Linked DNA regions of Arabidopsis thaliana. The protein of the gene in region 1 purifies or fractionates together with the protein of each later gene. This does not show direct contact. Each region holds a gene or a part of one and is shown in the gene's direction. Other genes may lie near its edges.

The links.
Region 2: the proteins of EM1 (region 1) and AT1G22290 purify together in Arabidopsis thaliana (affinity purification with western blotting, with the first as the bait; one study listed by BioGRID). This does not show direct contact.

What each region holds. Positions count from the first base shown.
Region 1 is NC_003074.8:19,205,485-19,220,671, forward strand, and holds EM1 (Stress induced protein), read left to right. Parts: upstream 1-9,237; 5' UTR 9,238-9,333; coding exon 9,334-9,451; intron 9,452-9,636; coding exon 9,637-9,977; 3' UTR 9,978-10,347; downstream 10,348-15,187. Other genes in the region: BAG4 (BCL-2-associated athanogene 4), read right to left, coding at 1,545-1,742, 1,831-1,977, 2,055-2,311, 2,487-2,694; G1 (transmembrane protein G1P-related 1), read right to left, coding at 4,409-5,179; ATG2 (metallopeptidase M24 family protein), read right to left, coding at 5,777-5,853, 5,942-6,142, 6,204-6,295, 6,382-6,518, 6,604-6,819, 7,306-7,459, 7,552-7,701, 7,797-7,881 and 1 more; G4 (UbiA prenyltransferase family protein), read right to left, coding at 10,817-10,879, 10,975-11,022, 11,107-11,183, 11,547-11,691, 11,781-11,856, 11,935-11,996, 12,093-12,176, 12,251-12,316 and 6 more; SAC8 (SAC domain-containing protein 8), read left to right, coding at 14,753-14,903, 15,039-15,113. UniProt on the Arabidopsis thaliana protein: It is thought to provide protection for the cytoplasm during the desiccation stage of embryo development.
Region 2 is NC_003070.9:7,868,657-7,884,395, reverse strand, and holds AT1G22290 (14-3-3 family protein), read left to right. Parts: upstream 1-6,433; 5' UTR 6,434-6,480; coding exon 6,481-6,547; intron 6,548-6,624; coding exon 6,625-6,943; intron 6,944-7,022; coding exon 7,023-7,089; intron 7,090-7,196; coding exon 7,197-7,273; intron 7,274-7,369; coding exon 7,370-7,422; coding exon of another isoform or gene 7,423-7,430; intron 7,431-7,498; coding exon 7,499-7,566; 3' UTR 7,567-7,756; downstream 7,757-15,739. Other genes in the region: MBD8 (methyl-CPG-binding domain 8), read left to right, coding at 752-1,860, 2,217-2,682; GRF10 (general regulatory factor 10), read left to right, coding at 3,293-3,359, 3,712-4,018, 4,226-4,313, 4,421-4,530, 4,612-4,760, 5,109-5,146, 5,245-5,250; PAPP2C (phytochrome-associated protein phosphatase type 2C), read right to left, coding at 8,900-9,037, 9,141-9,295, 9,389-9,665, 9,736-9,993, 10,125-10,160; ZYP1b (Myosin heavy chain-related protein), read right to left, coding at 12,330-12,431, 12,781-12,843, 12,910-12,993, 13,066-13,146, 13,263-13,334, 13,480-13,566, 13,635-13,745, 13,830-13,937 and 5 more.

The sequences.
Region 1 (15,187 bases):
AAACAGGTTATTTACAAAGCTGGGGGCAAGGAGCTTTTATGGTAAAAAAAATTAAAAAGCCGTAGATAACTATTACATAGAAACTGAAACTAGTTGAGTTTGCTAAGCATGGGAGAACCATTGGGATAGTAGACGTGTGCAGCCGAGGCGGAAACGTCTTGCTAGAAGTATGTTCTTCATGGATTTGACACTCAAGTGAAGCGAGCTGAGCTGAGTTATTGGAACCTCATGAACGAAAATTACTCTTAACAACATCAAAAATTTGACAAAAAAAATGTTTCAGTTAGTCCATCGATTAAGCTTAAAATAATCTGCTAATATTATCAGTTATTTCGTTGGTAATTTGAATATAAAAATCCTGAATCACTCATCTCTTAGAATCTGTCAAAACTATATTCCGCTTGACCAAAATAAATTCTAGTTTTACTACTATTTGGCCAGTTTAAATTACGCAAAAAAAAACAACGTCCATAGATCTGTCAGAATCTTTCATAAACAATATTTATGCAGAGATTCGTCGTTATCATTTATATTCATAAGTATTAAGTACCTTTCAAATGTTGAGGCTGCCACATACCGGTTGTGCGTGACACAATTATACATTGCTGATATTTTCTCGCAAATCCAATTATGTTTACCGATACAAAGCGTAAGAAATCATCACAGAATAGAATATAAATTAAAATTAAAATATTATCTGACAGAACATAATAAATGGTCGAGAAAATAATAAATAATAATATGTGCTGTTAGATAGCCGGCAAATGGCTTTTGCCACCCACATTGAACGGCGAAGTCATGTCAACACGTTTTACTGTTAATTTTTTTTGTTATATAAATAAATGGTTAAGGAAGTAATCGTAATTAAATCTCTGCTAAGCTATGATTAAGTCTAATCACTGCTGAGTGGATTATTAGTTTATGTGATGGCACAAGAATGTTATTATATAGATTAAATATAATTCCATGGAACATATAATTGAGAATGAAACGTATGGTCATGTGGGTGAGACAGCTAAGAATGTCTTCTAGTTTTTGGGTAAGAATGTATTTTTTATCCAAAAAGCACGGATCGTACTCTTGAAATGAAACTAACCTTAACTTTGCATTATTTGGCTTGTAGTGTGTACTTCTCAGTTTGAGGCAATCTTCCCTCGAAGCTGTAGTTTATAAGGATTGAAACATGTAACAGTAAACATAAATCATTTTTGCAACACTATCGCTATCATCAAATTGAACTTGAGCTCCCGATTACTAGAACATGGAAACACATATGCAAAAGTGTCTCCAAAACTCGTAGCCATAATCTTTAGTACTACGACATAAGCCAATTAGGCACGACAGAGACTGAGAGACATCAAAGACTATTCCCAGGGATTATTCCAACATAACGTACAGAGATGTAGATTTCCGATACTATATATAATATATCTATACATTAGAAGATAAAGACGATGGTCGTTTTCCAATATTTAACAATAATCAAAAAGATAAACAGTTTCAATAAGCATTTTTTTCCAAGGCAACGTAGCAGTACTAAAATGTCAGTCAAATTTCTCCCAATCTTGAGTTACATTGGCCGAAGGCGAAGCTGGCGGAGGAGGGTTCAAGCTTCCGACACCGTTTCCGAACGATTCCCACTCAGTGCTTACAGCTGCAGCTTTGCTCTGATCCACAAACGGATTTGAACATCTTGCCTTCAACTTATCCACAGCCTCCTGCAAGTTTTGGATTCTACGTACCTGCCAACACAAACCACAACTCATATATCTTCCAACTCTATTAACACTCTTACCGTGTAAACATGCTTAACAAAGCAAGAAAACTAACCTCAGCCTTACGCTGTACTTTAGCGTCCCCTTCAGCCTCAATGCCATCCAATTTGAGCAGCTGCCTCATAAGAAGCTCTGCAGCCATGTCAAACTCCCGCACCGCAACTTGCGTCCCTCCATTCACAGCAACTTCTAAAGCAACAACCTAATTACCAAAAAAAACTAGCTTAAGCACAATCCTTCCGTCATCTCCAAAAGAAATACAGGCTTATAAAAACTCACTCTATCCGAGAGCTTATCGACCTCTCCTGTAACCGCGTTAACAGCAGCAATAGCTTTTTCCATCTCTTTAGTTACCACAGGAGGCTGTTGTTCCACTCTCTTATTCGTATCCTCAACAACAACAACAAGCTTAGACGCATCCTTAACACCAGCAGCTTGCAATTGTTCAGCATCATCTCTCTCAACTCCTCTGAACAAGATCTTCAATTCACTAGCTTCCAATCCAGTTTTCTGAACAAGAGCTTTCTTCACATCCCCTAGTTATCACATTCGAGCTTAAACATATCAATCTTCAACTACACTAACACAACTTCAACAAAAACTAAATAGAGCAAGAAAAATTTCATAATGAATCACGCTAAATTCTCTCAGGCTTCGATTATTTGGAATTTTCAGGCGATGGATCAGAAACGGAGCTGAGAGTTTTGTTACCGAAAGTGGCGTGAGCAGAAATATGAAGATCGTGGTGCGATGAGCCATGAGAAACAGTGATTCTGATGGTTTGAGCAAAAGCGGCGGAAGCAGAGTCGGGATCCTGGAGAGGTTTGTGGTCGGAGGAAGCGGCGTCGTCTCTTCGTTGGACGAGCATACCACCAGGTCTCACCTCCCATTCCGATTCTTCGGTTGAATTATGCATCATCGTTTTTCGACAATGAATCGGAGTATGAGATTAAAGTATAAAACCCTTTGGGCCAAAAAAAATTAGGGTTTTCCTTGTCAGGGTATTGATAGACGGATGATGCACACCTCCTCAAAACATACAAATTCTCCTGATAACACACATGTGTTTCAATTGTTATATATTTGTCTTTTTTGGTAATTAGAATTTTTAAGGACTAAATGAACCAAATATTTTCAGAAATTGTAACAATATTTTTTTTCTTCTTAATATAGATGTTTTGGTTTTTCACATATGATGATGATTTGTGAAACGTCAGAAAAAAAAAATCAATAAGTTTAAGATTGCCAAAAATAGGTAACGACTGATTTTGGATCCAGCCAACCGGCCCTGGATGGAATGATTCAGTGTCAATGTATATGTATATAACTCACGCTTTGGCAGGATTTGAGGCAGGATTTGAACAAGCCCAATTTTAGACAGGTCGGCCGAACCGCCACAATGCATATAGTGAGAGATTTAACTTGATATGGTCCCCAACCAAAAGAACTTATAGGCCTAAAATCTGAACTTTCTCTGAACCAAAAAACAAAAACTATCTACGAGGAATATGGAATAATCTAGTTAGTATAGGGCAGCAAGTATAGTAATGGTGATTTGTCCCATATTCAAAATGGACCAAGCACACAATAGCAATCGAATATAGTAGTGACAAATATCGTAATGCTCTTGTTCCATACTTGATAGTCAGTATTTTTGATGACTCAATCATATACCACTCGTTCCATACTTGATAGTCAGTTTTTGTTGACTGAATCATATACCACCCACGATAAATTTGCTATACAATGAGAGACTGATGCATATATAAAGATGCACTTAAAAAAAGCAAAAGCAATAGCGTAACTGCGGAACACTTCAAACTACAGCTACATTAGTAGACTAGTAGTTGGTTATCAACCAACAAGCCTAAGAGAAGTGCCAAAACAGAAGCCAATGCCATGATTCTAGAGGCAAAAACTAGGCACCTAATCGACTCAGAAAGTACAAACTTGAAATCTCCAGGGCCAGAATTGCCTAGTTGAAACATAAGATGCATAAAAGGAATGCATGACCATCTTCAAGATTGTCAACAAGCTCAACCCATATTTATAAAACAACAAAGAAAGAGCTTGGAACCTCCAGAACAACTAAGAGGAAGCTCTGAAAGACCTGTATGTTCAACTCTTTTGGCTATAGTACCTAGTCATGATAAGAATAAGGTCACACAAGCTACAACTTTGGTGATACGTTTACAATTATATACCCACGACCTGATGAAGCTAATAAGATTCACTAGATCAATCTAATCTGTGTGCAGCAACAAAACATAGCTTCTCTAATCTGTGTGCACATCAACAACAAACAAAACATCCAACAACACAATGAATCAAGCAGCATATTTGATCCCTCGTCAAAGTGTTCTTTATTTGATCAACACAACAAGAAAGTAGATTAGCTTATAGCTTTGTGGAATCAAACAAAGCTATTGTATAGTGTATCACATTTCTCCACTTAATTCTCAAATAGACTCAAAAATCAAATCTCTGTTTTCCAGGAATATAACATTCCAATCTTCCTACTCTTTTCCAGAAACTATAATCAAATATAACCTTATAAGATGAACAATACTCACCAAAAGCTCGAACTTGGGGAAAATTTTGATTAACTTAAAAAGAATGAAGTTTATACCAATCTAAGAAGCCGCAACTTCAGCAGCTTGTTCAGTCGCCGCCGCTTCAATAATTTTCTTATTCTTCTCAATCGCCGCCGCAACTTCCTGTGGCATATACTTCTCATCATGCTTAGCCAAAACTTCAGTCGCCGAGAAGAAACAATCGAGGTTCCTAGCTTTCTTCGAAATAGGTTTTGTAGAAACTTCCTTCCTTACTTCATCTGTATACGGCTTAATGAATCCTTCAACCACAACTGAATGACCTTCCCTAAACAGATCCGGCAAAGATCCTTTATACCTAACCAAAATATCAGTGATCAGATCAGTGATCACAAACTCCATCTCCTGTGACGCCGCCGGCTGCGCAACGCTACCTTCTAGAACCAAACCACCGAGTCTGAATTTGTTCTTTGTTGGATTCTCTGCGAATTTCTCCATAGCGTCTGATGGCGTTAGGTAGAAGACAAGCTGATCCTGAAATTGGTTAAGGACGATAACTACGAATCCGGCGATGCAGCTGAAGGTTAGCGCGTAGGTCCATAAACGGCGATTCTGCATCTGACGCGCTTTGGCTCCGATATCGATTTTCTTAGGACGTGTTGGACCGCGACGAGCGATGGAGAGAGATCGGAGGAAGGTTAAGGATGATAATCGCGATGGATCTGGTGAGGCGGTGGTCAATGAGTGAAAAATCGGGCAAGGTGGTGATTCGAATGACGATGAGATTTGAGGATTTCGTTGAATTGATCGGAGGATTTGAGAACTTCGACGGAACAATAACCTAGCTGCCATTTTCCGGGAAGATTGATTTTTCCTCGTGGGAATCAATCAAATTCCCGAGAGCGAGAGGTTTATGGGGTTTTCTGGAAAAATGAAAAAGAAGCCACAAGCCGCCCCACTGAAGAACTATGGACCACGTCAAGAACCCTCTCTGTGGTTTAGAGGGTTCAATCACAATTTCTTAAGTGAAATTCTGATTACTATTCGTTACAATCTCAAAATCAACCAATCCAAAAATCTGTATAAGCTTCGATTATTGAAGAGCTGAGTTTTTTTCTTCTGTCACAAATATTTCTCTTCTGTGGGATCAAATCCTTACCACGTAAACACATTCAAAGAGTAGTTTGTTGGTAACAAGTGTTTCTAAACAGAGTTATTGTTATAGCCTGAAACCAGATAAGTATTTTTGATTAGAGAATGAGATAAGATTAGGACAAGCAAAGAAATGATGATGAAAAGTGCTTTGTGCAAAAATATGCACAAAGGTGGTAAACTATTGTTTGTTTTTTTTTGTTTAAGAAGAGACTCTCTTGAAACCCAAACATACAACGAAAGAGGTACCTCAAGTTTCAAAAATTCTTTAAAAGAAACAAAGACAAATCTTCCTACTCATTCTTGAGCATTACTACTTGCGTCCATTGGCTCAGCCTCTGTTGAAGCCTCTCCTTTCTCTCCCGCCTTTTGGGCTGCAAAACACCAAATTGAACCTTTTTAATCAACATGTGGATCACGTCATATAAGGTAAAAGTCTGGAAATTTATTTTAAGTTCTTACCTTTCTTCTTCTTTCCACCACCTTTCTTCTTCTTGATGCCCAAAGCTAACCACCCTTTGATCTCAGGGTCTTCGATGGTCTTTTTAGGAAGTTCCTGAAGTGTATGTGAAGTGATCCTATCTGATCCATTTGGCATCAGCAAAACTGTGAACTTAATCTGAGCAACAAAATCCCCTGGTAGAAAACCAAAACGACATGAGCCTTGATATCAAGATTCAGATAAAAGAGGTTTATAGATTCAAAACCCTTTCATCATCCTTACCAGGCTTCTCGTAAAGAACAGGATATGGTTGCAAATGACCATGGTTCACACACTCCACAAGTCCAAGCCGTGCCCTTTTCTCCTCCAGTGACCTGTATTGATAATACTCTCAGGTAACGTTAGCAAGTGAGATAATAGTTTAAGGAATATAAAATGCTTCAGAAGGTACAAAAGACACCTTGCAGTGAATGGCATACGGGGGAAGTTCTGTTTAATTTCGCTGATTATGAATCTGGAGGCCTTCATCTTCAACTGATAGTTAACACTTTCATCTTTCTTGTAAATAGTTGTTTGCTTCTCGTCTAATAGCTTTGGCTGCAAAGTCAAAGATTGTGAGAACAATGGCAATAGACAAAGGTTCACCAATAGTGATCGGGATGCGATAAACAAAAGAAATTACCTTGCCATCACCAGTACTTGCCACAATATCTATTGCATAGACTTCATTCTCTTCAAATTCCACTTCGTCAACAGTTGTTTCAGGGCTGGATACACTAAGCACAACCTTGTTTCCATCTATCACATGCTGTTTCAGCTGGTGGGAAAGAACACCTTCAACAATTTTGCAGTCATAAGCTGCAGCTACCTTCTGAATAGCTTCAGTTACATCAGTGTTCTGCGATAAGAAAAACAGAATATCAATGTCTTGATTGCAATATGTTGTAGTACTAAACAAGAAACTACAAACTCGTAGCAAGAAACTTTATTTTAAAGAACTTTCCCACATCAGAGTAACTACGGCCTCATTTGGATGCGAATCCATAACAATTACGGTCTTCATCCAGAAATCTTTTCCCAAAACAATTTACATTTGAAGTCCGCTAAAAAAAAAAAGCATCGTGCAAGACCAAGAGAGGAAAACCTTAGACAAAGTTCCAACATCTCATAGTAAATCCAACGAGGGATCAGACTAAAAATCAGAATAAGAAAAATCCCATCAGAGTAACTATGACAAAAAAGCATCATATGGATAATAATCCATAGCCATTTATTAAGTGTTCATCATCTGGGTTTTGTAAAACCTTGACAATCATTCAAGAGGCAGTTATAGTACCAAAAGCCTATAGTTTCAAGTTTAATGTAAGAGTAAAACTGATGATACCTTTTTTCCAGGACGTACGAGCCTTAGAGCAACATCAGCTGCAGTATTTGCGGCAGCGATAACATCAGCCTTACGCCCACTAAGAGGCCCTTCTTGAAGAACATGTGTGTGACCAACAAGGGCAATGAACCCATCAATATGACATCCCATATCGCTGCAATTGAGAAACGCAAAACAACATCAGAAATAACACAGGTGAATCATACAGAAACATCTAAAAACAGGTATTACTTGAAGACAACTTACATTTTAACCATGTCACCATCTTCCAACACAGACTCATCACTAGCAAGCGGTGAAAAATGACCAACAGTGTTGTTCACAGAAATGCATGTAGGGAACGCAACACCTCTCTCAATCTTCTTCTTAGAATTCTTGTACATGCTTGCTGTTTGCCTTTAATACAAAAACAGAAGAAAGAACAAACACATAAATATCTAAGAGTAATCCAAGGTCGAATCTACATTAAGAACAAATTGAGATATACTCACTCTTTAATAAAAGAGTCTCCTTTCTCACAGATATCAACAATCTTAGCTTTTGGTTTGCATTCAGCTAAAACAACCTGTAACGCCTCTGCAATTGAAAACCCAACAGAAATCAATACTCGATAAAGCTACACCTTCAAAACCCTAAATCCAAATCGGACTTAAAACAAGAAAGGAAGAAAGAGAGGGTGTATTACTGTTAACGATCTCAGCGGCGCTCTTGTACTTGGTGACGACTTCAGGAGAGGTAAGACTCAGCTCCTTCTCGTCTCTCTCATCGTCCGAACTCATCTCTGATAACTCTCGAGAATCGAAACAGGGGAAGCAAAAATGTTAGGGTTTAAGGAGGAGCGATTGGGGGAAAACTGGTGGAGAAGGAGAGAAATGAAAGTGTTGGCTCAAATAAAGGTACTAGGGTTTTCGCTATGTGTGCTCTCTTCTTCTAACGATGCCGTTTTGGATTAATCCTGTAACGCTTTTTCTTAATTGCGTTACTTTTGTACTCCAGTATGGGCCGAAGAAGGGAAGCTGTTTCAGAATTGTGGCCACTAAACATTTACCCTTAACCGGGCCCATATAAGCCCACGTCAAGTGGCGCTTATACGCTCTCCGTAAGAGAGCCAACATTTGGTATGTAATGTTGCAAATTATTCTTCAAGACAATAAATTCAAATATAATTCAATATTGTCCAAATATAGTGATGTACTTCAGTTGTGCACATAGAAACTCCACTAAACCAACTTTTAGATAGATGCATTCACAAATTTTCAACAATGTCGCGAAAGTCTAATCCACACCAGATTCTAACATTTTAATTATTATATTTAACTATACATACTCTAATCAGCATGAGTCAAACGTGTACAATAGCCCAAGCATATAATAAGACCAAAGTCAAACTCAAATAAATGTCTCCAAACTCAAAACTTGAAAAAGACCTAATTATTACATGGTAGATATGACTTTGTCGACAAGTAAACCAACTAATCCTCGAAGCTACCTTCTCTTCCCAGTTATTATGTGTGATCGATTTATAAATCTCTTCTTCTAATAACACCTATATTTTTCTTATGATGTGAATAAATATAAAACTTTTAACTTTAAAACATATTTATCCGAAATATTGCACTTAGATTTCAAATAGATAAATAATAGTACTATCTAACTGATATTGAAAAGACCTAACACGGAAAACAGTTTTATAAAAAATCCCAAATGTGGGTAATTATCTTGATTTCTTGGGGGAAACAGAAAATGGATTAAGATTAATCGGAGTCGTGTCAAGCAGCTCGTTAATAACTGTAGCAAGTTGACTGAGTAAGCATCAACGTGTCATCTCCGTAAAGCCCATTATTTCTAGTCTCGCCGCGTCTTCTCTTCCACGTAGCACTTCACTTTTTCTCTCCTTTTGTTTCCTTTGGAACACAAACGTTTCTATTTATAGGAATAATTACGTCGTCCGTATCTGTGTCGGAACATAGATCCAAATTAAAAGCAACTTACTTAATTACATATCGTTCGTGTTTTTTTCTTCAAAAAATGGCGTCAAAGCAACTGAGCAGAGAAGAGCTTGATGAGAAGGCGAAGCAAGGAGAGACCGTCGTCCCAGGTGGCACCGGTGGCCACAGCCTCGAAGCTCAAGAGCATCTTGCTGAAGGTATTGCCGTAAATTACAACTTTTCCACACTCTTTTTATTTTCTTTAGTTCGTAAGTAATGGTTTTATAAGGCTAGAAACATTAGATCTTAATATCTTAAGATAAGATTAATCTACTTATTACGAACCTAAAGTTTACTCTATGATCTCCATGTTTCATGGAATGCATGTATGTACACTTGTTAGGAAGGAGCAAGGGAGGGCAGACGAGGAAGGAGCAGCTAGGACATGAAGGTTATCAGGAGATCGGTCACAAAGGTGGAGAGGCGAGGAAGGAGCAGTTAGGGCACGAGGGTTATCAGGAGATGGGTCACAAAGGTGGAGAGGCGAGGAAGGAGCAGCTAGGGCACGAGGGTTATCAGGAGATGGGACACAAAGGAGGAGAGGCGAGGAAGGAGCAGCTAGGGCACGAGGGTTATAAGGAGATGGGACGTAAAGGAGGACTCAGTACGATGGAAAAATCTGGTGGAGAGCGTGCGGAGGAAGAAGGGATTGAGATCGATGAGTCAAAGTTCACCAACAAGTGATAGTAGTTACGAGCTACTAGTGTCCGCTGCAACAGTCTGTTATATATCATCTAATAAGTAACCTGCTTGTAGGTTCCGTGTTTGGCAGCGTGGATTTTAACTAGGGTCTAATGTAGCGCGTTTAGGTTTTTTGTGTTTTATATGTGTGTGATATAACTATGTATGGCTTGTACTAACGGCAGTGTTGTACCGTTCAAATGGTATGCGGTTATGTTATGTAATGCGGTTGCCGGTTGGTTTTACTTCGTGTCTTACTTGTGATAGTATGTTGTGTCCAACAACGTGAGACTTGATATGTTAAGATTGCAGCATATCAAATGGCTGTAGAATAGAAAAAAATCAGGTAGTAATAACACAGTTTCAAGTTGTTAAATAACATATGTATAGTCTAGTCTTTGTAGTTTCTCAAATTAATTGTATGAAGTTAGTTGGGTTACTAGCTAGTTGTTAGATTTAGATTATAAAAAGTTTGAGGAAGTATCATTTTTGTATATTACTGTTTTTATGTGGATACATGTTTAGAATCAATACAAAAAGTGATGAAAATAGTTAAAATCCACTACAGAAAACAAAAACATTCTGAAAGCAGAGAAGTGACAGAACTAACATAAACCCCAATCCTCGATATGAGCAGGAAATGCAAAAATGGAGCGCAAATACGGTAACATCAATTACAATTTCTCAGCCGTTTTGCTAAATTGATACAACAGGAGTTGTTTCTAGTAATAACGGTACATACATTTTACAAAATCTTTTAAACTAGTTGATGCCATCACTTGCCCACATTTGATGTGTCAACACCTCTGCTTTCGACAAAACCCCATCAAAATACGCCTTTTTCAGTGTTGCGATGCTAATGCCGTTACAAATATTCCGAGCACCAAGAATGGCTGCGCGCTTGCCTGTAATCAAGATGAGTGTTTCAAGCAACTTCTGATTAAGAGACCTCTCAAAGATATTTCAAAAGAACACAAACATGTGTACTAAGTTGACTTACCTGGTACTTGACGTCGTATTTGACAGGGTCCTTGAGAAAGTATTTAAACTGCAGTTTATAGAAGCGAGTGTAGCAATCAGACGAGTGACAAGAATTTGATTAATTATAATGTGAGACTGTTAACGTCTTTACCTGGAACACAATCTGAGGAATGATCAAAGCAACCAACGCCAACGCATAATAAGGTTTCCCAGATGCTAATAGATATCCTGCAACCAAAATAGACATATACTAATGATGATCTCTACCTTTGATTTGGTTCTATAACAATGATTGTGTAACTCATCCACTAGTAAAAGTACAAATGAAGATATAAGTTCTGTTATTTCATGACACTGTTGAAAATACTTGTTTTAGAAGCATGAAATGAAAATCCATCAATCACACTAATGAAACATAAAAGTAGATGCCTCCTCTTCATTAGCTCATTTCATTAGAATGTACTTTTATGTTTTGCCTTTGTTGATTCAGCTTCATTAATTTGTGCTTTACCATTGGTGAATATCCAGTTGATAAGATCAAGGAAAAGAAATAGAAGCCACAGCTGCACAAAAACAGTGGATAGTACATACCGGCAACAGAAAGCTGAGTAATGTCTATAGCACCAACGCATATCCATTTTGCAGTTTCGGTGCCAAAAGCTACTGGGAGAGACTGAAGTCCTAATGCTCTATCTCCTTCAACACTTTTGAAGTCGTTAACAATGGCTATTCCTAACTGCATTATCACAAAGGTACAACATGAAGCAAGAGCATATTACAACAGATAACGAAAAAAGCAACATAAAAGGTTTGCCAAAAGAGTACCCCAGCTATGCTGTACAAGAGTGTTAGAACAACAACATCTGGCGTAAGAGTGCCAAACAATGCTTGGCCAGCCCACCTATCAGTCAAGTGAGCAAGAAACAAATCAATGAGATGAGAACAACGCCATATATTATTGATACACGAGATATCTTACCATGGCAAACTAATATAGCTTGCTCCAAGTGCAAAATTTCCAACCCATCCATTTTGTTTTAGCTGCAATGAGATCAGTTCAGATATCGATATTCAAAACTCCAAAACTTGGATGGAGTGTCTTATCACTAGAGAGTGGAAGTTAGGAATAAAACTTACCTTAAGAGGTGGAGCAGAGTATATATAAGATAGCAATGATCCTCCCAAAGCAAGATAGAAGACAGTGGGAGTGGTATGCCCTGCCTGATAAGGGAAGATTTTAGCAAATCTGATGTGCCCTTTAACTGTACTAGTTAATGTCAGAAGGGCCAACTTACCCACACATCTAATATTCCAGCAATACCAAGACCTCCCAATAATAGCACCCAGACTTGTGTAATAACCTGCATTTTAAGGAGTAAGGAGAAATCAGAATCACAAAAGAGATAAAAGCTCACAATGTTCTGTCTCAGTTACCTCTGGCTCTGATATTGCTCCAGATGGAATTGGACGATATGGCTCATTAATTGCGTCGATATCTCTATCATACCAGTCGTTGATTGTCTGGAAATCGACAAGTCTAGGTTATTGTAGCACCAAGCAAATGCACTAGAATAAGAACAAGTCAGCTTTTTGTTGTGTAAAACCAGACCTGTGTATAGCCAGTAAGACAAGGACCAGACATCATCATGCAAAGAATCGACTTAGCAACATCCTCTGGGGTCCAATGAAAGTTCCCTGCCAGAAGAAACAATTGGAAGGAAAATGAAAAAACTTTCTGTACAGTATTGCATGATCCAAAAGAGGTTCGTATGATTACCTGAAGCAGCAGCACCACAGACGACTCCCCAAACCAGTGGAGGCCAAGTGACTGGTTTTGTAAGCTGAAGACGAATCTTCCATTTATTCTGAATACAGAATATAACAACAAACTCTTTTTAGCTAACAAACAACATTTTCACATCATTTCTAAGCTAAAAACAAGACTTGTCCTCAAAAGAGATTACCTTTAGTAGGAAAATTCCTAAACTAACACATCATTATCCACAAATATGATAATTTAAAAGATTCTGAGGAGATGAACAAAATTACAGTTTCTTGAGATGCTCCTTTGATACCGAGAAGCTGGTTAATGCTTGAACCACCGGCTGGTGCCTTGTCAGGTGTCTGAGATTTAACTGCCGTCGGAAATTCAAACGCCACAGTGTTTGAAAAGAGAATTTTGAAGAGAGAGAAAATAAAAACAACTAAAAAATCATACCTTTATCAGTATCAGTCTCCGCCGCACGCACAACAAATCTCCGCCCTACGAGAGATCCACAACAAGATCAGTAAAAAAAAAATCGAAGAAAACATTCATCAATCTATCCAACAGAATGCTAACTACCGGGTGATTCGTAGATCAACGTCGAGAAACCAGAACGCCGGCGAGTGAACTCAACGGAATCCGAATTCCGAAGAGAGAGGACTCCGACTCGATCGACGGAGGTAACTCTGGAAGAGTGGATGGTGGAGACAGTGTTGAGAATCGAAGTCATAGAACCGACGGAAGAGAGAATCGTCTCTGGTGGTAGTTAAGCCGGAGACTGGAGTGGTGTGAGTCTGTGAGTTGCTGTTTCGGGAAACGAGTGGTTGTCCGTTACCGGAGATAAGTAATGTCTACGTTACAGTTTTGGCGGCCTTTGATTCAATAACTGCCATGTGGCACGATCCTCTTGGCAATACTAGTTGTGTCGGATGTTAGTTTTGTTGGACAAAGGACCTTCATTGAAGCAGAATGGGCCCGGTTTAAATCCAAAGCCCAAACAAAACCCATTAGGGTTTCATTGAAGCAGAATGGGCCCAGTTTAAATCGAAAACCCAAATAAAGCCCAAAAAATAAATCTAATATTAATATGGGATGATATATACCGGGTGAAATCATAAAATTTAACAATAAAAATACAAATACACAATTTTAAAAGCTAACCAAAACTAACAATATTAACAAAATAAATATAATTTCAAATTTCAAATCTTTTAATTATAAAATCATCCCGAATTGTATCATACATTAAATAATCAATAACATATATCTATAGTTGCTCAATACCTTCGGGGATTACTCTACTACATAAGTCGTCTTGATTGAATAGATTTCCTGATGTCTAGTTTTCCTACTGTGGAAATCCTATTTAGAGTAGACTCACTTCAATGAAAGCTATTACTTCTTTATTAATGACTATTAACTATTATAAGATATTAAGACAAAAAGAATAATAAATCTAACAAGGGGATTATGATACATCTAGTTGTAGTTGATATCTTAAAAACAAAAAATTCATGTATTTGATAAAAATATAAGCCCGTGATATATCTTTTAATATATATCCTATAAATATAATATTAACTGAAATAATTTTTTTAACTTTCTAATAAAAATATCAACCTTCAGTCTCTTCATGTTCCCTCAAGGCAAAATTACCTTCAAGTCTCTATTTTTACTACATGTGGAACAATCAAATCAAGGAAGAGTCGGTAGGTGATGGAGATTCGCTTTAAATGTCTACGTAACAGTTTTGGTGGCCTTTGATTTAACTACTGTAACAATTTGTCCGGACGAAAGACTATTGGGCACAGTTTAAATTTCAGGCCCAAAGAAGCCCACTAGTATCCGGTTGAGAGACACGTGGCAACAGTCAACTTTGAAGAAAAATAATGAACAATCATTGACATTTTTTTTTGTTTCTCCTGATCCAGTTCTTAATTGAACAAACTCCAACAGCATCATCATCATCATCATCCTTCAAATTATTTTTCCTATTTTGAAAAATTTATTTGAAATCTCATAATTTACGTTAATGGAGATTGCTCCATCTACAAGTAGATTCAAGCTCTACGATCAATTCGAGCTTCTGGAGTTTCCTGACAAGTACGTCGTCAAACCCATCGAATCGCCTGAGGAAGGCTTCTCCGTCAATCGGCGCGATGGCAATATCAAACCTCTTGATGGTAATCCACTCTTCATTCTCAGCTCTCTCCCTTCCCTGTTTTGGTTTCAAGACAAAATTTGGCAAGAGATGATATGAAGCAAGAGTATTAGGCTGTTGTAGTGTATTTGATGTTACTGTTTCTTTGTTACTGCAGAAAACGCATCTTCTGGGAGTCCTACTAGAGTCTCTACTATCTATGGCGTAGGAGGAACTATTAGGCTCTTAGCAGGTGGAAAATGTTTTTCAACATTTCTCTATGTACTGTGTTGGGATCCAACAGTGATTTTTATATGCTGGTTTCGA
Region 2 (15,739 bases), on another chromosome or scaffold:
CGAGAGTTCGAGCCTCTCTCACCCCATTACTCTTTTTCCTTTTTTCATAAAACCCATGCTAGGCTCAGTTTCAATAGCTTTTTATTACCTGGAAGCCCACATACATTCGTAATACGTTATTGATGCGTTAGCGTTACAAAGGCCGAATCACCTTTTTATTCAGTTGGTCAAGAACAAAAGTTTTTTGACCCATTATAGGCCCATTTACTATTTCTATCTAGTATCTACAATCATCCACACGGTTTCTTATTTGGCGATTGCACTGATCATGTTCTAGATTACATGCAATTATATATGTTCATACTTGTGAATACCAAAGTTTCGGTTAAATTTCACGTGCTTTACTCAGTTACTTTTTTAACCGGCAAGATTACATTAATCTTGCAAATCAAATCAGAATTCGACATTCATGAGAGGGATTTATTTCTTAGTCAAACAAAAGAGGAGTTTTTTTTTTTTTTTTTTTTCATTCCAGAAAAGAATCAAATATCAACATTTTAAAGATAGTAATTTCTTGATGACAAAAAAAAAAAAAAATAGTAATTTCTTTATAAAAAAACTACAAATATGAGCTCAATTCAATTAAATCAATTGGTATAACCGGTTTAATTGAAAATTGTACAAAACCGAACCGAAAAGCTAAGAGCGAGTCTAAGCGAGAGAGCAAAAGAGAAGGCACTGGAAGTTATCGGAATTTGCATCTTTTTGATTCCGCCGTTTTGCGTCTGACGTGTTCACGGCGGCAACCTCCATGGACGACGGTGACCTCGGTAACAACCACCATAACTTCCTCGGTGGAGCTGGTAATCGTTTATCAGCCGAATCTTTGCCGTTAATCGATACGCGTCTTTTGTCCCAGTCAGAACTTCGCGCTCTCTCTCAGTGTTCTTCTCTATCTCCATCTTCTTCAGCGTCTCTCGCCGCTTCCGCCGGTGGAGACGACGATTTGACACCAAAGATCGATCGCTCCGTTTTCAATGAGTCCGCTGGTAGCCGGAAACAGACATTTCTCCGTCTCCGCCTTGCGCGCCACCCTCAACCACCGGAGGAACCTCCTTCGCCGCAACGTCAGAGAGACGATTCTTCCCGTGAAGAACAAACGCAAGTCGCGTCGCTTCTCAGATCTCTGTTCAATGTCGATTCGAATCAGAGTAAAGAGGAAGAAGACGAAGGAGAGGAAGAGCTCGAAGATAACGAAGGTCAGATCCATTATAACAGCTATGTTTATCAGAGACCTAATCTTGATTCGATTCAGAACGTTCTGATTCAGGGAACCTCCGGGAATAAAATAAAGAGGAAGCGTGGACGGCCGAGGAAGATTCGGAACCCTAGCGAAGAGAATGAGGTTTTGGATTTAACTGGTGAAGCATCTACGTATGTGTTTGTAGATAAAACTAGTAGCAATTTGGGAATGGTGAGTAGAGTTGGTAGTTCAGGAATCTCCCTGGATTCAAATTCAGTGAAGAGAAAGAGAGGTCGTCCTCCAAAGAATAAGGAAGAGATAATGAACCTAGAGAAGAGAGACAGTGCAATTGTGAATATTTCTGCGTTTGATAAGGAAGAGTTAGTAGTGAACTTGGAGAACAGAGAAGGTACAATTGTGGATCTCTCTGCATTGGCTAGTGTTTCAGAGGATCCATACGAAGAGGAGCTGAGGAGGATCACCGTTGGGTTGAAGACAAAGGAAGAGATCTTAGGTTTCTTGGAACAATTGAATGGTGAATGGGTGAATATAGGGAAGAAGAAGAAAGTTGTGAATGCTTGTGATTATGGAGGATACTTGCCTAGAGGATGGAGACTTATGCTCTACATCAAAAGGAAAGGTAGCAATTTGTTGCTGGCTTGTCGCAGATACATAAGGTATAATAATGTTTATGTTCTTCACTGGTTCTGTTTCTAGTTGGATTATAAAATAGACCTAGTATTGGCTGTGGAATTGGTTATAGCAAAACTAACACTTTGTTACTATTGAAGATATAGTTTTATAGGATTTGGTATATGATGTTTTAGTTTCTGCTGCTAGACTTTTGATTGTCCCTCTTGTTTGTTTCTCCATCTTCTTGAACATGATAAAAGATGTTTACATGAATTAAGGGCTGCTACTGAAATTGCTTATAGTTCGTTTGTGTACTCTCTGCCGTTCTAGGATTCTAGCTGTTGTTATCACTTTTAGTTCAGGATTCTGAAAATTTTCTCTTTTGTTTTTGATTATATAGCCCTGATGGGCAACAGTTTGAAACCTGCAAGGAAGTCTCCACATATCTACGATCACTTCTTGAATCCCCAAGCAAGAACCAACATTATTACTTGCAATCTGACAACAAGACTCTAGGACAACAACCAGTGATAGCTAACGAATCTTTACTAGGTAACTCTGATTCCATGGACTCTGAGACAATGCAGTACCTTGAGAGTGGAAGAACCAGCAGTGAGGTGTTTGAGGAAGCAAAAGCCGTAGAGAATGGCAATGAAGCAGATCGAGTGAAAACCAGTCTGATGCAGAAAGATGATAATGCAGATTTTCTGAATGGAGTTGAGGACAACGACGATGATATGAAGAAAAGAGATGGTAACATGGAGAATTTGGCGACTCTATCGAATTCAGAAATGACGAAAAGCCTACCGACAACGACTAATGAGCTTCAACAGTATTTCAGCTCACAAATCAACCGAGTTCAGTGACCATTTCTTTTACCTGGAACAAATTGTTTTCTCATTCTAGTTCAGATTTTATATTTTATGCAAACTAAAAGCGTGTTGTAGCTAACTACAGGATATAGAATTTGAAAGGGCCATGTACAAAACATTTGACAGAAACCAAATTTTTTCTTCAAAAGAAAATTTCTTTGAGTTTCAATCTGTGATTGATTTGGATTTGGATTTGGATTGGCATAAAAAAAATCTATGATTTGGATTGTGTTATATAATATAGAAAAGAACACAAACCCTTAAAATAATGGACAAGAGGACATGTCTTTCTCCGTTTATCACGGTCAGCGTCGTTAACCTTTTACGTTATTGACTAGATCGGGGTTTAATAAGAAACATATATTAGTTTTAGGTTCTTTCTGTGTAAAAACTAAACCTTTGTGGCTACTTTATAATTTATAAAACTTATGTTTCTGAGTTTTGTTGACTAAAAAAAGTAGATCCAACGGCTGATATAATACCACTATGAGAGGATCCTAGGGTTACTACTAATCTCGAAATCAATCAAATCAAAGCATCCATTTTTGATTCAGACTTCAGAGAGACAGAGAAGGAAGAAGAAGAAGAAGAAGAAGAAAAAACTATGGAGAATGAGAGGGAAAAGCAGGTTTACTTGGCTAAGCTCTCCGAGCAAACCGAAAGATACGATGGTATTTTCCGATTTCTGGATCTCTATTCAGAAAATGATTTGTTCATGTTTCTGAAAAAATCCGATCTTTTATTGCTCCGATCGAAATTGTTTTTACATTTCCATAGATTTTCTTTGTAGCCCTTTACCGATTTGTATGTTTCTGGGCTGTTACTTGATCTGGACTTTTAGATGCGACCTTTAAGTAATTTCTTGTTTAATGTTGTTTAGATACTCTGATCACTCTTGATCTTATCTTGATATAATTTTATACTTACTGTTGTCGAATCTCTTAGCATGAAAATGAAATAGATCTACGTTTTTGGAAGCAAATTCAAAGATCGGATATTTTTTTTTTGTTGGTGATGATGCAGAAATGGTGGAGGCGATGAAGAAAGTTGCTCAGCTTGATGTGGAGCTAACTGTGGAAGAGAGGAATCTTGTATCTGTAGGGTACAAGAATGTGATTGGTGCAAGGAGAGCATCATGGAGAATACTATCTTCCATTGAGCAGAAGGAAGAGTCCAAGGGAAATGATGAAAATGTCAAGAGGCTTAAGAATTATCGTAAGAGAGTTGAAGATGAGCTTGCTAAAGTTTGTAATGACATCTTGTCTGTCATTGATAAGCATCTCATTCCATCGTCTAACGCTGTGGAGTCAACTGTCTTTTTCTACAAAATGTGAGTGTCATCTTTATTATACTCTGACCATTCATGTGATATTTGTGTGACTAAGAATGAGATCATTTCCGTTTGACTAAAGTTAAATGTTTAAGTTATTACATAGCTACCACTCTTGCTTGTGTTCTTCCTGAAATGATGATGATTCATGAACTTTTCCTTGTTTCACTGTTTTGACTTTACGTGTTTTTTTTTCTTTCTATGTAGGAAAGGAGATTACTATCGCTATCTTGCGGAGTTCAGTTCTGGTGCTGAACGCAAGGAAGCTGCAGATCAGTCTCTTGAAGCATATAAGGTCCTTTGATCATGTTTATTTGTTTTCTTATTTTTGTGCCACCCCTCTTATATTTGAGCTGGGAATAACCTAAGACAAGTCTTGCTTTTTTCGTACTGGGAATGTAGGCTGCTGTTGCTGCTGCAGAGAATGGTTTGGCACCCACACATCCAGTTAGACTTGGCTTGGCGTTGAACTTTTCAGTTTTCTACTATGAGATCTTGAACTCTCCCGAAAGGTTTGTTTTTGTATTTTGGATTGAACATAATAGTGGAATCTGTGGTCATTTTCTGACACTATGAAACTATGTATTGTACAGCGCATGCCAATTGGCTAAGCAAGCATTCGATGATGCAATTGCTGAACTTGACAGCCTCAACGAGGAATCATACAAAGACAGCACTCTTATTATGCAGCTACTTAGAGACAATCTCACCTTGTGGACTTCAGACCTTAATGAGGAAGGAGGTATTCTTATTTTCTTTTGTTTCCCTATCTCATGATCAAATGGTTTCCTTAGAATCAAATGAGCTGTTAAGAGCGTTACCTTGGAGTAAAAATGTTGATGTTTGGGAACTCGTAACCATTAACCATCTGTCTATATTTGAATTAAACCGTCCTTTATGCATGTATTGCTATGTAGATCTTTCATTTTAGTTTTGAAAGCCTCAACAAAAAACATACCAATCTACCATCTCATAGTTATTGGATTCTAGCTAATCTTGTAAAAGTTATATGTTTGTAGCAGAAAACATTACTAGTTTCTTGTTTCTCTTCCAAAGCTTTTTCACTCACCTTTTTTTTTTCCCCTCTTAGATGAGAGAACCAAAGGTGCTGATGAGCCTCAAGATGAGGTATGAAAAGCCAGTTTTGTTATAAGTTAAGCTACTTACTGATTTTTCCATTTTGCATTGACAATTAGACCACTCATGGAATTACTGAATCATTGCAGAACTAAATCCTCTGTGAGAAGAGAAACGACTCTTGCTGCATCCTGAATCTTGAAGTGAAGACAGTAAGTGTCGTTGTTTGTTACTCGAATGTGTAATTTTTAATCTATGTCTTTCTTGATGGTGTTTTCCAGATTCTTGAACTTTTCACAACACAACACTGCGTTGCGTATCTTCAACCCTCTTATGATGTGGTTGAATTCTGTTTTACGCTTAGTTTGCTTCTTTTGTTGTTGAATTGAGCCAGCAGGCATGATTTGGGTTTTTGTTTATCAGAATATTAGGCGTATCATGGTCTCAAAATTAAAAACCAAAACAGACAAAGCTTTATTCGAAGTTTGTAATAACTAATAACTCCTTGCAAAAATCATGAAAGTCTGAATTCAAGAGGCTCTTAATAATTTGCATAAGTGATCCCAAACTTCACAACTTTTCAATTTGTGGATGTTTGCCCTCTTTGTGGCCAAGGAATCATCCTCAAGTGTGTTTCTCTACGGTGGTTTGGTCCGTAAGTGTGTGACATAATAATGGTTTGGTTCTCCCAACATGACCCTCAAAAAGGATCTCTATGCTCTAAATATGGGACTCTTGTAAGTTGTAATTGTAACCAAATGCTATCACAAACTCTCTAACTCGTACCAACACTCATTGTGTCTAATCCAATCGAGAGCCCTCAAAGTCTAAAACATGTTAATCAAACTGTGAACCAGTTAATCCTTATAGAATCAGATATCTTTTTGTCAACCATCTAAATAACATTTTTGTCACGAATTGACCACTTCCCTCGAGAGATTTTGTAGTGTTTTCTTTAATATTTTTATATGTCCAATGAATAATAATTTCATACATCTATCGAAAACTTCAATTTTGAGCTACAAATGATCAATTCAAGTATTCACTTGGCCCAACTTCTAAATTCTTTAGGTGAGTTGTTGCTAGCACAACAAATGCTACAACTGTCAAAAGCAAAGAGACAACACCTTCAAATATTAGGTTTGACTAATAAACAGAGGATCATGGTGACGATCTTTGCCAACTCTCACCAAATCAACCTGAAACCTTCAAAACAGATTTGATGCTATTGGATCCAGCGCCAATAGGACACTTGTCATTAGCTCATTTACTTTTCTATTCTTTAAAATGATGAGTGAAATCGAAAAGTCTTGAGCAAGAAATACAGATTACAGTTTCTTCTTCTCCAAGCATCTATTGTTTAAGAGAGAAAAAGAAGAAAAGCCATGGAGAATGAACAATCAACGCACGTTCACTTCGCGAGTCTCTCTTCGTCAAGCGAGCGCTACAATGGTACTTTTTTTCCAGAACAACTTCTTGAATCTTAACATGCCTTCACATTACTCAATACTCCAAATGTTTTGTTGCAGAAACATTTGAAGAGATAAAGAAAGCGATGAAGAAAAGTGTTCAGCTTAAAGCGGAGCTATCAGCAAAGGAGAGAAATCTTGTATCAGTGGGGTACAAGAATGTGATTAGCGCAAGGAGAGCTTCATTGGAAATACTATCATCCATTGTGCAAAAGGAAGAGTCAAAAGGAAATGAGGAAAATGTCAAGAAGCTTAAGAATTATCGAAACAAGGTTGAAGATGAGCTTGCCAAAATTTGTAATGACATCCTGTCCGTCATCAATAAGCAACTCATTCCATCGTCTACCACTGTGGACTCCTCTGTTCTTTTCTACAATATGTGAGCGAAAATGTGTTGTTGTGGTGCTTGAGGCGCAAAAGTGTTGCACTGTTTTGGCTATACTTTATGTTCTTTCCAGGCTGGCAGACTTCAGTTCTAATGCTGAAAGCAAGGAAGCTACTGATCAGTCTCTTGATGCATATAAGGTCCTTGGCTCATGTTTGTTTTTGTGCCTTGAGCTCGGAACAAAATAAACTGAACAATATGTTTTGTGTTTTGGTAATGGCAATGTTGGTTGTTGTTACTGCTGCAGAGACTGGTTTGGTACCAACAGTTCCAGCTATACATGACTTTGAATTGGACTTCTGTTTTCTTAAACTCTCCTGAAAGGTTCCTTTGCTTACATGCATACATATGATTATTTAATGAAATCGGTGTGGTGTTACTTACTAACAGTCTGAATCAGTGAAACTGTGTGTTGTACAGTGCATACCAATTGGCAAAGCAAGCGTTCGATGATGCAATTAATGAATTTGACAGTAAGTGATGAATCAAACAAGGACATGACTCTTATTATACAGCTACTCAGAGACAATCTCAACATGTGGACTTTAGACCTCACAGAAAGAGAGGAGGTAATCTTTTTATTTCCCTATCTGCCTCCTCTGATGATAGATAGATAGTTTCCTTTGGAATCAATATAAGCCATTTTTGTGAAATTTTGTTAGTTCTTGTACTGTTATGAGGAGCCTAAACTTTGATTCGAATGTTAATGCTTGGGAACATATTTACGGCTTTGTGGATCTTTCATTGCTTAAACGCCAAGTTGTTGAATTCAAGCAAATTTTGTTGCAAGAAACCAATTAGCATACTAGTTTCTTGTTCTCTTCCAAATCATACACTCAACTTTTTTTTTGTTTCCTCTTATCCAAAAGTGGTGATGAGCCCCAAGAAAAAGGTATGAAAAAGCCAGTTATGTCAAAATTTAAGCTACTTGAAGATTATATTTTTCATTTTGGCATTGCTAATGGAGTTACTATACCATTGCAGAACTGAATCTTGAATCCTATGCGAGAAAAGAAACGACTCTTGATGCATATCCTGAGTCAAGATGGGTTGGAATCTGTTTTACACTTAACTTGCTTCTCCTGTGTTGAAATTTCAGAATATAAGACACCATTTGGGGTTTTGTTTGTCGGAGTATACCTAAAGAATCATTGCTTGTCACCGACGTTTCTTCATTCTTTCTTTTTATAGCCAAATGAATACTATAATCCCATTGGAGCACTGAGGAAGAAAACTCGAGAATTGCTTGGTACATCTTCCTCTATAGCAGTTGCAAACAGTTCCACAAATAAAACACAATGAAAGTTTTTCAACGCCTAAGCTAAGTCTTTCAATAATGAAACCCTTTTCAGTGATAAATTTCTGCAACTATTTGCAACATCTCAATCTCTGAAAGACTTTGCTTAGAATTATAACAACAAAACACAACCAAATTGTAGTAAACTGATCCATCTTATTTTTAATCCTTCCAAGGATAATGACATTTACCAACAACAATGATAAGGATAACTTTTGCTTATTTTGTTTGGCAATGTAAATCTCTTACAAATAGCAAACACTTTGGTTAACATATATATATGCAAACCTAATCCAAAAGTACTTTCACATATTTGTAAAAACATCCTAATATTTATATCCCGATGATTAAATATAACAAATCAACCAATTATAATAACAAAACCCCCCATCACCCACCACAAAACTCCATTCCCCACTCCTTTTTTGTTCATTTTCTTATCGTCTTTAAAACACACAATTTACACAACGAACGCACATAAGCTATAGCAAGAAGCAGCTAATCACAAATTGAAACTTAGACCGGTCCTAAACCGAACCAGAATCATCAGAGTCGAATCCAGTGAAAACAAGCTTTTTTGTCCTGATGAATCTTTGATTGAAATTATTATATAAGGAACCCATCTCCCCGTAAGTATCCTTTCAGAGAGTTTGTCATCTGAATCGGACCACGACACAAGATATGTCGTCTTTACTCTCTCTTCTCAATGCTTCAGCTGTTAATTCCTTTGCCGCTTTCTGTGGATCTTTCACTCTTCTCGCTATCTCCATTGCCTCTTCATTTGTCATCACCTATTAACATGATCATTACAACAAAACAATCAGACAAAAATGGTCTCAAAACACTCATTTAACAAGAGATGAATAATATATACAGAGAACAAGCCATTATTACCTTCCAGATGCCATCACTAGCCAAGAGAAGAACATCTGTCTGGCTATCTACAGTAGCTTCTTTTATGTCAGGCTCTGAACTCAAGTGTGTCTTAAGTCCCTTATCTCCAAAAGCACGAGACACAGCTAATTGACCATTCACCCGAGGAACATCACCTGTTATTAAAACATCACAGCCACATCATCCTCCTTGTCAACAAAATCATTCTATCTTCATTAAACATTCAATACTCAAAATAAGTTCTTTACCTGGTAGATTGGATACAAATCCACCTCTATCTTCAATACTCGACCTTTCAGTACGAGGCTCATGATCTGTACTCATCTGCGTTATAGCGCCACCATGAGAAAGAACAGCTCGTGAATCACCAACATTAGCTATCCACAACTTTCTCCCATTAATCAATATAGCAGTCACAGCAGTAGAACCACCACGACCCAAGTCAGAACTATTCGATAGAATCGCTTGGTCCGTCTTCTCATAAGCTTTTGCAATAGACCTTCGAGGATCAACCCAAAACTCTCCCTGCATAAAAAAAACAATACACTTAAAGCTATGCACATGTTCATTAACCCAAGAACAGTAGAACAGTAACCTTTTTTTTTGTTTTTACCTCCTTAAGGATATTGGAGAAGAGACGTTTCTGCAAGTAAGCAGGGACACTATCACCCATATGACCATCATAAATAGCAAAAAGACCCAATTCATGGTCTTGGATGTTGATAAAGTTAGCAACATGATAATCTTCCATTGGATGGTTAGCTTTTCCTTTCACTAGACTAAAACCATACTTGATCATCCCTTCATCACTTCTTCCTTTACCTGATCGTGATGATGATTGTCCTCCCACAACCTAAAAACCCACACCAATAAGATCAATCAAAACACAAAGCTCTCAGATCTTTCACTTCTAAGACAAAATTATTTCATCTCATAACAAAAAAAAAGAAATTGTTATATAGCCAAAAATTCGATAATCATTACCTCAGAAGCGGAAGTGAAGCAACAAAATTTTCCCATTTTTTTTGAATCGAAGAAAATTTCTTCGATTTTTGCAACCTAATTGAAACTTGCGGAGATTTATTCAAATAAACAAAACAATCTGCAGAAAAAATAAATTCAGAAAGCGAAATTAAAATCTTCATTGAGCAGCTGGGAGATGATAAGAAAGAGGGGATTTTTACCTGGAAATTAAAAACCCTAATTTGGTTTTCAATTTTTTTTTGTTTGAGGTACTCTCAACGATAAATCTACAAAGTCTATGCGACGAAGTCTTCGCTCTCTTTTCGTTTATGTCTTTTTCCTACGCGAAATTATATATATATATATATATATTTTTATTCAGTTGAAAGAAAAATAAAAATTGAAAGCTATCTGTATTTTTTTAATATTGCATCAACGTCCTTCATATATATAAATATTTACTTTACGCCTCATATGAATGAATTTTAAATTGTGACTATAATAGATTTCGATTATTTAATTTGGGTAACAATAATTGCTTAACCTTTAAATTGTAGTTTTGTTTAGGTGATGAATTTGTAACATACATTTGCGTTGTATTAAAGTAAAATGAGGGTGTAGATATGACAATAGGAACTTTGGGATAAAAGTGAGAGGTTTTGGAATTTTGGGGGTGAAGGTTAAGATAAATTAGGGGAAGAAAAGGAGAGAGAGAAAGGGATGGAGCAAAAAGGAGTGATCTGGTCAAAGAAAATAAAAAAGCTGCCATTTAAAAATTTTAGTCTTGGCTATTTGGCATGTTGACTTCCTCTTCCTTTACATTTATGTCATCTCCTTAACAATCCCTATTTTATTTTTTTATATGCGTTTTTACTATTCAGACATGAAAAAATGTGCGAAACTATTTAGAAAATTCATATATATTTTATTCCTGATATACAAATATCCAGAAAAATAAAACACAATCCTTTGGTTTTTGATATTTATTAGGACGTATTCCGCAAGAGTTTTATTTAATATTACAAAATATAAAACATTTTTGCTTAGAGAGATTATTATGAGTAAGTAAAAAGTAAATGAATGTTTCGTTTTCACACAAATTAATGCATGAAATTAGCAGTTTCGTAGAAAAACATATCCATTTTGGATTTGATGGCATAACGATTGCGGTAATTTTTACATTTTCTTTATACAACTAAAAGTTCAAGAACAATTATGAAGTGCTTAATTGAGTAAAATATAAAATATCAGGTCTCTTCCCCATTACCAGAAATCTCAAAGTATCAACGAATGCGACAAGAAAGTGGAAAGGGTCAAAGGCTTCGACGCGTTTACTAGCCATCTTTTTGTTTCTCCATTTAATGTGATTCGCACACATTTCATGACTTTTTGACCCTTAATCTAGTTTATTTAATCAAACACACATCAATTTAGCTACCTTAGCTTCCTTATTTATACATACAATTTTGATTGCTAGCCTAAAACAAACGATTTGTTGCTTAAAATAATAAACTTGTTCGTCTAAACCTCCGTGATATGTTCCTCTAAATTAGGTTCATAGGCCCCTAGTCATGTACAGTAGAACATCATGTACTCATTTTCAATTGTGGGCCTTTTATGAGCCCATTTTCTTACTATGTAAAGTACTGGTACTGTATGTTAATGAGCCCAACAGCACAAGAATGTGAAACTAGATACAATGTATGAGTTTGTATATATATACAAATACTGATAGTTTTATTCTATGCTTATATGAATGGCTTCTGATCTACATGATTTGTACTGCTTTCCACTTTCTTCCTTGTGATTCTTCTCAGGTCTCAGAGAGCACTCCGCTTGGAATCAGTGTTCTGTGATGCCAATAATTCAACAGAAAACTGTTAACCTCAAGAGCAAATGAACCACTAATAACACCAACGTATACCAAATCTACAAATATAGAAACAGCTATAAAGATGACAAATAGATTTAACACTTTTGATTGATGCAAAGGTTTTATCAATGTTTTTTGAAGACAGCTACTGGATCAGAAACAGATTGCGGATTATTTCTCTTAACAACATTTACAAGTTTTTGAAACACTAGGATATAGTTATTCCACGTTATAAAAATGAGATAGTTGATGCAAGCAGCAAAATGTTTATGTAAATCGGTGAGCAAGCTTTCACAAATAGTATGTATCTGAAAGTGAGAGAGAGATAGGGAACTGACTTTGTGTGGTAGACTTCAATCAAATGCATAGGGATCATCAGCATATGGGTTGAGGGAACCTTCTGAAAACAAGTCTCCAATATTTGCAGAGTGAGGATGATCGGCCATTGCTGTTTCCTGCGCTTAAAAGACCAGAATAATATGCAGTTAAATCAGAAATGTTTTTAGAAACCTAGCATCATCCATAACTTCTTGGCCTGAAAACTTCTACATTATACTCGCATAGACATAAAGCTTGGTTAAGCAGCCCTAAGTCTGACCTCCTATTGTTCCATTATGTCTGTCAGTTAATCTATTTTACTATTAAGGAAGGTGTGACGAAATGAATATAAAACGTTTTGTGAAAATATGATTTTTCTCCTATCATCAAATCTACTTTTTTACTCTCTGCTTCAACACTAGTTGACTGATGTGAGGGTTTGTTCATTTCAAAGCATCAGTTAAAAGTAGTGTATTTGTATTTTACCTTCGCGATGATTGTGGGGGTCATCAATTTGGGTGTCAACCTAGTACTGCGTCTTTGTGGCTCCTGTTGCCAAACAATGTAAAGTTAGATATCTTGAATATGTCTATATAGCAGGATGGACAAGCTGACCTGAAACATTGTTGTCTGTCTTGTTTTTCTCCGTTTAGGTATCCTCCCATTATTCGTTTCAACCTCATACTCACGATGAGTTACCTGCCAAGTTGAACCACAAGCCAAACAATGAGGTTGATTTCAATGTAAAAATGCAAAGCTTCATATGTTTACCTTGCTATGATGCTTTGGATTTGTCGCTTCCTTCAATATATTTGACACAGATGTTACTTTTGCCTTTACAAAAGGAGATTCCTGCGTTTGATGATCCATGAGAAAGTGTTAATGTGTTGCCTTGACGAAGCGGAAACGAAAAGAAGAAGAAGATATTTATGATTCTCTGACTGTTCGTCATAATTTTCTGTCCTCACCGTTATATGCTCGCTTCTCTTATTACCACCAAGACGAGATTCTTTCACTTTGACCGACGAATGTGAATAGTCCTACAAGGTAATAAACACCATGTCAATCTCTTACCCTGTTTACGTTATGAAAATAAAGAAAGGAGAACTTGCATTGTCAACTGAATGTTGTATATCTTAAAGTGTATAGATAACGATTAAGGAAGAAAATGAAGTCCAATCTAACCTTGTTTGAGTTTACTTCTTGCTCCTCAGGTGGATTGTCACTCATCACCTTCCACTGTAACTGCACCAAAGCTCTTTGCCTCTCTTCCTGCAAGGTTAGCCCATAAGTTAAACTCATAAAGATTCATCTTATAATGGATCTTAAAAAGCACTTACTTTTTTCCTTTGAAGATCTAATTCTTCTTGCAGCTTCTTGCAGTCATCTTCATACTGACACTTGAATGCTTTCAACTGAGCATCATGCTCACTCTTCAGAGCTGTTATCCTCTGGATAAATATACAAAATATTCGAATACCAGAGGCTCCTTATTCTTTCATCTGTTTGAGCTATGAATTTATATCTGTGTGTACCTCTTTCAGTTCATTTTCAGCCTGAATCTGATTTTGTCTCAGTTCCTGGTCATACTTGGCTTTGAGATTGAGCTCCTTACTCTCGTGCTCCTCCCGAATATTGAGAATCTGGGGAACACGCAGCTTTTCTGAGTTAATATGCAAAGTAATTTTAACTTCCATGCTGTCAGAAATAAACTTCCAAACAGATAATGCATACAAGAAATACAAGAACGTTTCGGATTTGATTAATTCATTCAAAGCTCATTTGGTGATGGTCAGAACCATCAGATATTTTGGAATTTATTGATGCTATCAGACAATTGGAACAATGCATGAATGCAGTAACATGATAAGATGTGGTAGCTTTAGCTTAGAGATTCGCAAAGAAGCCTTGTCCAAAAAGTTCATAAATCATTTCCAACATACCCGAGAAGAATGTTCCTCTTGAATGGTTAGCAGTTGCCTCTTTGATTCTTCTTTGCAATCTGAGAGTCCTTTATCATATTTAGTGGACAGCTCTTTGATAATTTTTTCAACCTGGAGTTAGAACCACAATAAACATCATCAATTGTTCAGAAGACTAAAACGAAAGATACTGTAGTCATTATACCTTGTCCTTTTCAGAATTAATAATCTCATGCTTCTCTACATCATACTTCCTCCTGATCTCATTAATTGCCTAAAAACAACATAGAGAGATAAATTAATTGCTTTAGTGTCTTTGCATATTGCATTCAGATTCAGCTAAGGGCCTCACGATTCTTATTCTACTAAATATATGGAAACATTGCTACAGATATACCTGGTCATTCCTCTGTGATAATTCTTTTAAGTGCCTTGATAATTCCAACTGTTTACTTTCTAGCATCAGGTCATATTGCTTCTTTGCTTCTGCAAGCTTAGTTTCAGCAGTTGCGAGTAGCTCCTTGTCCTGCAGTAGGATTCATATTTGATGAGTACTAAAAAACCTTAAACCTATGTCCCAGAATTTACTTTGTAGACCTTAATGATTTGTTGGTTTATATTCTTCTCGTTCTCATTGCACTGGAGGATTAGATGCCCTTTCTCCTCTATAATGGTTTGGAGCTGGTTCACCTCTTTCGCCAATAAATCTGCCTGCAGCTGATGGCTCTCACTCTCTTTCTGCAAAGTCTCTAGTTCCCCAACTTGTCTTTGTGCATCTGCCTGCAGTTTCTCGTACTTATCTTTGCTTTCAATCTCTAATGATGAAAGCTTTATTGACAATTCTTTCTGCAATATATACAAGAAAAATATAGTATTACAAGAATGCATTAGATACAGTGCATAGGGATATAAAATTATTTTATACCTTCTTATCCTCTGATGTCCTTACACTTTCCAATAAAGTATCTATTTCCTCTTTCAACTTCGAAATCACTGATTCTGTTTCAGCATTCTTTAAAACCAGTCCTTTTGCTTCAAACTCCAATTTATCAATGGTCTGGCTTGCAGAGCAGCGTACCCCAGAAAGTTGAGATATTAAAGATTCCTTATCATTCTGGAGCTCAACTATTTTTTCACTTAGCTCATTGCCTGAAGATTCCAGAGCTTCTTTTTCGGCAGCTACTCTAAATAACTCGCCCTGGAGTTGATCAAACGATCTCTGAGCACGATCTGATGCAAGATCTCTGTCTTTTCGCAACAACATAAAGTGGGTATCATATAGGCCACTTAGTTTATCAAACTTTTCCTTGAAGGTCAGATTCTTTTTGTCTAATTCAGTCAGCTCAGCTATCAAATAGTGGACTAATTCATCTAGCTTCTTAACCTCCTGCTCTGAGCGGACAAGTTTTTCAAACAGTTCATCTGAACTCAACTGAACATTCGTCTTTTCTTTCTCCAACTTCTCCTGGATACTAACAAGGTGTATGACCTCGTCTTCTTTTGTTGTTAACTCAAGATGTAGC